2 linked regions of the Rattus norvegicus genome follow. The protein of the gene in region 2 purifies or fractionates together with the protein of the main gene of each other region. This does not show direct contact. Links are inferred from orthologs where the notes say so. Each region holds a gene or a part of one and is shown on either strand. Other genes may lie near its edges.

The links.
Region 1: the proteins of Poc1a (region 2) and Nudc purify together in Homo sapiens (co-immunoprecipitation; 3 studies listed by BioGRID and IntAct, with this or other methods). This does not show direct contact. The link is inferred for Rattus norvegicus from reciprocal best matches to the Homo sapiens genes POC1A and NUDC.

Annotation. Positions count from the first base shown.
Region 1 is NC_086023.1:151,052,268-151,056,814, forward strand, and holds the start of Nudc (nuclear migration protein nudC), read right to left. Parts: upstream 2,994-4,547; 5' UTR 2,916-2,993; coding exon 2,835-2,915; intron 1-2,834. UniProt on the Homo sapiens protein: Plays a role in neurogenesis and neuronal migration. Necessary for correct formation of mitotic spindles and chromosome separation during mitosis. Necessary for cytokinesis and cell proliferation.
Region 2 is NC_086026.1:115,804,138-115,807,944, forward strand, and holds part of Poc1a (POC1 centriolar protein homolog A), read left to right. Parts: intron 1-1,141; coding exon 1,142-1,313; intron 1,314-1,623; exon of another isoform or gene 1,624-1,657; coding exon of another isoform or gene 1,658-1,671; coding exon 1,672-1,851; intron 1,852-3,355; coding exon 3,356-3,463; intron 3,464-3,807.

The sequences.
Region 1 (4,547 bases), on a different chromosome or scaffold from region 2:
AGAATGACAGCTCCACATCTGCGCATGGTGGCACGGGCCTATAATCCCAATGCTGAGGCAGGAGGATCATGGGTTTACAGTCAGCCTTAGCTATGTAGTGGGACCTGTCTCAGTTCCCCACAGAAATGCTGCTTTCCTTATCCCTAGGCTGTGATTAAAAAAATAAGCAAGCAAGAAAAAATAAAAAACAAACAAACAACAGCGACAAAAACAGAAGACCTGGGAAAAGCAACTTAAGGGGGAAAGGGTTTATTTTGGCCCATCACAGTGGGAAGGATAAGAAGCAAAAGCTTAAGGCAGATGGTCATGTCAGGCCACAGGTAGCAGGGAGCACTGAGTGCTTGTCAAGTGTTAGGACAGCCCAAGCTTAGTAAACTCCTGGGGAAAACACAAGCTGCTGGCACTGCCCCAGTTAGCACAACATTCACCCCAGTGAATAGTTCTAAGTCTGAAGCCGGAACTTACCCTAATGGGTACGATCCCTACTTCTAGACACTACATTCTCTGAAACAAAGTGAACTCACTCCCAACTACTTTTGTGTTGTATCAGTTTAGGGACACAGAGACAAGAAGGTTCACACTTACAGATTAGACACACTCTCCCACTTAAAAGAGATTTAGAAGTCCTTGGTCAACACAGGCACCTACAGAAAGACTTAGAATGTGTAGTGACCAGTTTTATGTCAACTTGACAGAAGCTAAAGTCATTAGAGAGGAGGGAACCTCAATCGAGAAAACGCCTCCATAGAAAAATCAGGCTGTAGGCAAGCCTTTAGGGCATTTTCCTTTTTTTTTTTTTTTTAAAGATTTATTTAATGAGTACACTGTAGCTGTCTTCAGACACACCAGAAGAGGGCATCGGATCCCATTACAGATGGTTATGAGTCATCATGTGGTTGCTGGGAATTGAACTCAGGACCTCTGGAAGAGCAGCAGCCAGTGCTCTTAACCTCTGAGCCATCTCTCCAGCCCTAGGGCATTTTCTTAAGGAGTGATTAATGGGAGAGCCTAGCATATTGGGGATGGGGTCATCCCCTGTGTCCTGGGTTCTATAAAAAAAGAGTTGAGCAAGCCAGGAGTAGCAAGCCAGTAAGAAATACTCCTCCATGACCTCTGCATCAGCTCCTCCCTCCAATTCTGGCCAGCTGCTTTTGATGATGATGGTGATACAGACCCGTGAGTGAAGTAAAGCCTTTCCTCCCCAAGCTGCTCTTCAAGTTTTATCACAGCAACGGTCACTCTACGACAGAATGGAAAACTAAAGGAGACTCCATCCCCAGTGACAGACCGCAGGACTGTCTCCTCAGGGACTTGGGGTCTGGTTTTCAGTAAACCTGTCACTCTGACTCTCAAGTACTTACAGAATGGAATATCTCTGAAGACAACAATAGGCTTTTCCACCTCTCCCAGTATTGGTTTGAAAAAAAATAAATTAACGGCACCCATGCCAGCTCATCTTTGTGGCTCATCAACTACATACCCACTGTGTGAACGAGGTCTGGTTGTTGAACATCTCCTGTGGGTTATTTGAGGGTTATTATATCTGGGGGTCTTACTACAGATCCCTGATTCCTGCCTCTTCCTCTCCAGTGTCAGGATTACAGTCCTGCACCATCATATCCAGCACTGAATTAAACTTTTGAAATGCTCACTGTGATCTGCAAGATGAATCACTGGGAAAAAGTGACTGCCTCAAATCCTAGCAATTCAACACTAAAAACCCACACACCGGTGGCAAGGGAGAACTGCCCCCATGAAACTGTTCTGACACAATACATTTCTTTCGTTTTGTTTTTGTCAAGATTTCTCTGTGTAGCCCAGGCTGTCCTAGAACTCATTCTGTAGACTAGGTTGGCCTCAAATTCGAAGCTCTACCTGCCTCTGCCTCCTGAATGCTGGGATTTAAGACACACCCTGCTCCAAATAATTTTTTTTTTTTTGGTTCTTTTTTTCGGAGCTGGGGATCGAACCCAGGGCCTTGCGCTTCCTAGGCAAGCGCTCTACCACTGAGCTAAATCCCCAACCCCCCAAATAATTTTTTAAAGCAAGAAATCTTCAAGGAACTCCCCAAAGGCGAAGTCTGGTCTCTGTCCGTGTCTGCATCCCCAGGATCCAGTCTTACTATGTGTCTGGTACACGAAAATGTCAAACACTTAAACAAAACTAGGGGGCCAGGCAGGGTGGCCCACATCCAAGTTCCCGCACAGAGGCAGAAGGAATTGGAAGTCACTCGATCTACACAGCAAGTTCAGGGATACAGAGCAAAACCCTGACTCAAGATAAAAAGAAAAAGAAAAAAACCATGAACTGATATTCCTAAATTTCACCTCGCAAACTAGGCAACTGACGCTAGTCCAGGAGGAAGCTTAACCTACAGGTCTCCGGTTCACTTCCTCACTCAGCATAGTTTCAAGTATAAAGAGACCACGTGCTAACCTCACCCTGGCTCTCACTACCCTACACAGTATTGATAGACAGGCTCTGCTCTGGATAAGATGCAGATCACGTGCATTAGAGTCGATCCAGGGATGCTCTAAGGAGTAACCATTAGGGATGCTCTGGAGAGTAACCATTAAAATGAAAGGAAAAACACCCGTGGAGCGCAGAGTGGGTGCGGAAGCTCTGGGGTCACTCTGGGACAACGAATATTGCTTTTGGGGGCTAGGTGTTGGGCGCTGACGGCGTTGGAGCCAGACTTCACCCGCGGGGTGGGCAGACCGGAAGCTGTGGCGCGGAGACCCGGGGACCCGGGGACCCGGGGACCCGCGCGGCCCGGGTGGGGGAGGTCTCGGCCGTCCACAGAGAAGGGCTGCGGCACGGGCCACGTCGTTTACCTCCTGCACGCCGCCCTCGTGCTGCTGCGCCATGGCCAGCAGCATGCCGTCGAAGCGCTCCTCCTCCTGCTCCCCTCCCATCGTGCTGCGCTCCGAGCTCCGCACTCGCGCTCTGCGATGCCCGCGCTCGGTACGGTTCGCTCGGGCCCAACGGTTCCCCTCGCTAGCCTTCCGCAGCGGAGCCGGAAACACGCACGGGCAAGCCGTGAGGGCCCACCCTTCCCAGATCTCTTCCCGCCTCCCCAACCATCGGTGCCCATTAAACTCCCGGAACACAACCCGCTTCGCCGTTCATTGGCTAACCCGAGCAGCAAATCAACAGGCGCGGCCCCAAAGCAGTGGGCGGGGCTCGCGACCGCAGAGTTTGGCTTGAGTTGCTATGGTCACCAGATACCTGGGAGCTTTCTAGAAAGCTCTGAGCTCACATCTTAATACGGCTGGAAGTTTTGATCAAGTAGGCAGGTACCTTCAGCCTTCTCCTCCTAAAGCCACAGTTGAGACTCAGAAAGAAAGCACTCACCGAAGGGACAGTCTACTACATCCTACTACACTAGACTTTCAAGAGCACAAAAATTGTAGTTTGTATAGAACAGCTTTACAAACCGTTTGTGCTTTGAAGTTAATGCTCTTCCATTACTGTCTGGACATCCTTAGTTTTTCTGTTTTGTCGTTGCTATTGGTGGCAGAGGTAATGGCTTGTTTTGTTAAGACAGGCCCGGTGTATCCAAGGCAAAGGAGAAACTTGTACTCCTGGTCTGCCTGCCTTTACCTCCAAGCACTGAGGTTGCGGGCTTGTGTCACCTGAACATGCCCCACCGCTCCCACGCGTACATTTATTTATTACTTTGTAAACCTGAGAGTGCTATACTGTTAGAAGATTAGTAACATAAACTTTGCCAGAGAGCCTGGCTGTCCCACACCCTGGAATAGGGATTCTGGAGGGTTGAACCTCAGATGAACAGTCCCAAAGAACAGGACTCATCCCCTCTGTCAGACTGAGGTCTCTGAGGGCTGGTCGGAACCACCTCCATGTTAGAAACTGGGCTGATTAATTATATGTCAACTTGACATAAGCTAGAATCATCAGAGAGGAGGTGCCACAATTGAGAAAATGCCTCCCGAAGATCCAGCTATAGGCAAACTTGGAGGGCCTTTTCCTAATTAGTGATTGACGGAGGGAGGTCCAGCCCATAATGGGAGGGGCTATCCGTGGGGGGTGGTCTTGAGTTCTGTAAGGAAGCAGACTGAGGGGAACAAGCCAGTAAGCAGCCCCCTCCATGGACTCTCCATCAGCTACTTCCTCCCGGTTCCTGCCCTGTTTGAATTTCTGTTCTTACTTCCTTCAAAGATGGACTAACATGTGGAAGTAGAAGCCAAATAAATCTTTTCCTCCTCAAGCTGTTTTTGGTGATGGTGATTCATCACAGCAATAGAAACCCTAATACAGAAGGCCTGGCTTCTCTGAGCAAATGGCTACCATTTAGACTCTGGGCTAGAGTAATCCTGACCCTAGCCTACTCTCACTCTCCAGGTATTCCAGACAGAACACGTGGTCTTAAGATCAAACCAGGGAGAGGGGGATTGGAGAGATGGCTCAGTGGTTAAGAGCACTGACTGCTCTTCCAGAGGTTCTGAGTTCAAATCCCAGCAACCACGTAATGGTTCACAACCATCTGTAATGGGATCCGATGCCCTCTTCTGGTGTGTCTGAAG
Region 2 (3,807 bases):
CTTGAAAAAACCAGCAAAAGGTCTGAAGAGATGGCTCAGCGCTTAAGAGCACTGATGTAATGGTTTGCTCTAAGCAAAGAAGGAACTGACACCATTGTTTGTTCTCTCCTTGGGCTTCTTATTAGGTTTGGTTCTTTCTTTTATTTTTATCCTATCTATCTCTATCCCGATCGATCGATCTATCTATCTATCTATCTATCTATCTATCTATCTATCTATCTATCTATGTATTCTTTGGGAGAAGATTTCTCTGTGTAGCCTTGGATGTTCTGGAACTCACACCATAGACCAGGCTAGCCTTGAACTTGAGGCTTCTTGCCTTTGCTCTCAAGTGCTGGGAATAAAGGTGTACATTGCCTCCTCCACCACCACCTGCCTTTCTTTTATTTTTAACTTAGATTGCCTTATTTTATGCACATGAATGTTTTACCTGCATGTACGTCTGAGTAGTATATGTGTGCCAGGTGGCCCCAGAGATAATATCAGATCTCCTGGAACTGGAGTACAGAACCATGTGGGAATTGAACCTAGATCCTCTAGAAGGGTAGCAAGTGCTCTCAATCACTGAACTATCTCTCCAGCACCAAGTTGGGTCCTTTCTTTTATTTTTTTCTTTCTTTTAAAGATTTATTTATTTATGTATCTGGGTGTTTTGCCTGCATGTACATTTGTACACCAAAAGAGGGCATTGGATCCCATGTGACTACAGTTCTAGATGGTTGTGAGCCACCATGTGGTTGCTGGGAATTGAACTCAGGTCCTCTGGAAGAGCAGCCAGTGCTCTTAACCACTGAGCCATCTCTCCAGCCCCAAGTTAGGTCCTTCCAATAGTACAGGGCCTTTTGTGTCTGACAGGCTCTTAGAGTATCAATGGTGAGACCAAGGGCCTTGGGTTGTAGTACAGAAATGTCATGCAAATGTCCTGTGTTGGCCTGCTACAAGGAGAACTGCCAGGCCATAACTGTCCAAACTATAGGTCAGTAATCACAGATGCAGGCCGTCCCAATGGGATCCTGTCATCGTCCTTTGGGGAATGCCTGTGATGGTGGAGATGGGCTGTTGTGCCCCTGCATCCCTGGCATTGAGGTGGGTGCTTGTGATTCTTGAGATCTGAGAATCATCTTGTTACTACTCTCTTCAGCCAGTGGCTCCATGGACTCAACCCTCATGATCTGGCACATGAAGCCCCAGTCACGTGCCTACCGCTTCACGGGCCACAAGGACGCCGTGACTTGTGTGAATTTCTCCCCATCGGGACACCTGCTTGCCTCAGGCTCCCGAGACAAGACCGTTCGAATCTGGGTACCCAATGTGTGAGTTCTGGACTTCAAGGGACTGACAGCATCGAGGGACTTGGTATAAGAGCTGTCCCTCCTTGGGTCCTTATCCTGGCTTTGAGCTTGTCACAGTGGGACATGTGACCTCTGAGGTGCCATCAGAGGCTGAAGCTTCGCTTGGGCTGTCTCCTTATGTTGGAATGGCTGCTACCTGGTGTTGCAGCTCACACGAGGGTGGTGGTGGTGGGAAAAGCACTTTGTTTCTGTTGGGCAGCTCTGGCCTCTTTGGGGTGAGACCGGGACACTTAGGCCTAGGGAGTTGGCGAGAACTTTGGTGTCCTTGTAGGTTCTCATGTCTGTTATGAGTCTCCTGAGTCTGGATGTCTATCCTCAGCAAAGGTGAGTCAACTGTGTTCCGTGCACACACGGCCACAGTGAGGAGCGTCCACTTCTGCAGTGATGGCCAGTTGCTCGTGACAGCCTCTGATGACAAGACAGTCAAGGTGTGGTCAACTCATCGCCAGAGATTCCTGTTTTCCCTGACCCAGCACATCAACTGGGTCCGCTGTGCCAAGTGAGAATTTCCTGTCTGGAGAACCTGGGAGCGTGAAGGGTTTGGGGTCAGAAGGGCTTGCAGGTGTCAGCTTGTAACCTTGGGCAGGTTGTTTACCTCCCTTTAGTGTACCCCTGAGTCTTATTTTTCTGTACGGGTAACTTTTTTTTTTTTTTTTTTTCCCGGAGCTGGGGACCGAACCCAGGGCCTTGTGCTTCCTAGGCAAGCACTCTACCACTGAGCTAAATCCCCAACCCCGAGTCTTATTTTTCTAATCTGTAATATGTCAATAGTGGTTGCTGTATTGAACTTGTTGGGGGAGCATCATTGAGTTCTATGTGACACATATTAGTCAGCCATGACCCTCTGTCAGGTGTGTGGAGCACTCCCAGGCTAGCAGATAGCAGCCGCAGCAGCCACAAGTCCTCTCAGTACCACGGTGTGCTTTCTCCTTGTTCCTGAGGACAGTTCTGCCAGCTAGGTAGCATCTTCTTTAGTTTGCAGAGAGAGAAACAGGCTTCCAACAGAGCAGTATCTACTCAGCTTAGTTATACTTCAGAGCTGCTGGGTAAGGACTTGGTGTGGAGGCCCTGGCTCTGGTGTGGGAGGTGGGATGCCAGTGGCTTGAAGAATTACAGAAAACATATTCCTGCCTGTGGTTTTGTCAGCTTCTTTAACAGAGCTTTCTCATGTCACAGCTCTGCTCCAGAGGAGGGTGTCCAAGGAGCACTAAGAAACCATGAAAGTCGGAGGTTGGGGACCACTGAACTATCTTCCTCTGGAAGTTTCTTATTCTCTATGACAGAACCATTCTTATTCTGGGAGGGCCCTGCTCAGAGAGCGGGTACTGATAGGGAGGGCAAGCCAGCAAAGTTGGGTGTTAAGTCCTCGGTAGACCTTGAATAGTAAGTCTCAGGACCTCCATGTGTTTTGTTGGCCTTCATATTTTGCTGATGTCCTCATGTGGTGTTCCTGACCACCGCCATGTATCAAGCAGCACCATCTGTGTACTGCTATAGGCCATCTGTCTCCTGGGTGTTCTGTGCTACCGTGTGCTTGCTACGGGTGGGCACTGCAGAGGGTCTGTCTCACAGAGGAGGCCGCTTGTCCAGGATCACTCAAGGTATCAGAGCAGCACATGCCCGTAGGTGGTTCTCGGGTCAGGCAGTTGTTGGTACACACTTGGGAGGACTTGGGAGGCTGAGGCAGGAGGATTGCCACAGTTTGATCTACATATAGCGTTGCAGGCCAGCCAGTGCTACACAGTAAGACCCTATGTCAAAACAACAACATTAAAAAGCCTTAATGCGGGGTTGGGGATTTAGCTCAGTGGTAGAGTGCTTGCCTAGCAAGCGCAAGGCCTGGGTTCGGTCCTCAGCTCCAAAAAAAAGAAAAGAAAAGAAAAAAAAAAAAAGCCTTAATGCCAAAGAGTTCCTGGATCAGGCAATAGCACGCTAGAGGAAGTGGCTGTAGAGAACACAGTGTGGTACTCAAAGTAGTGTGACTTATGGTCCTGTCAACCTAGGTTCTCTCCTGACGGGCGGCTCATCGTGTCTGCCAGCGATGACAAAACTGTCAAGCTGTGGGACAAGACCAGCCGGGAGTGTGTCCACTCATACTGTGAGCACGGCGGGTGAGTCTCTGTCGTCCTCCCACTGCGGGTCCTGCACAGAGTAGGTCAGGGCATGGTGACCCAGGGGCCTTCAGGGGCTGGGCTGTGCATATATCAGCCCTGCTTGCTGCTCGTCAACTGAATATGCTTTTCATATGCACTTTTACCTTTTCCTTTGTAGATGGAGAGTTAAGCCCCATCCTTATCCCATAGACAGCAGAAATTTTTTACCTAGAGTTACACAATAATTTGGTCTCTTTTCCCCCTTTTAGTTTCTAGTTCTCAAAATTATAATGTGTCTTTCTGAACATTGAATCAACCCCCTAAACTGTATGTCAGAACTTAGTGTTCCCCCATGGTGATGA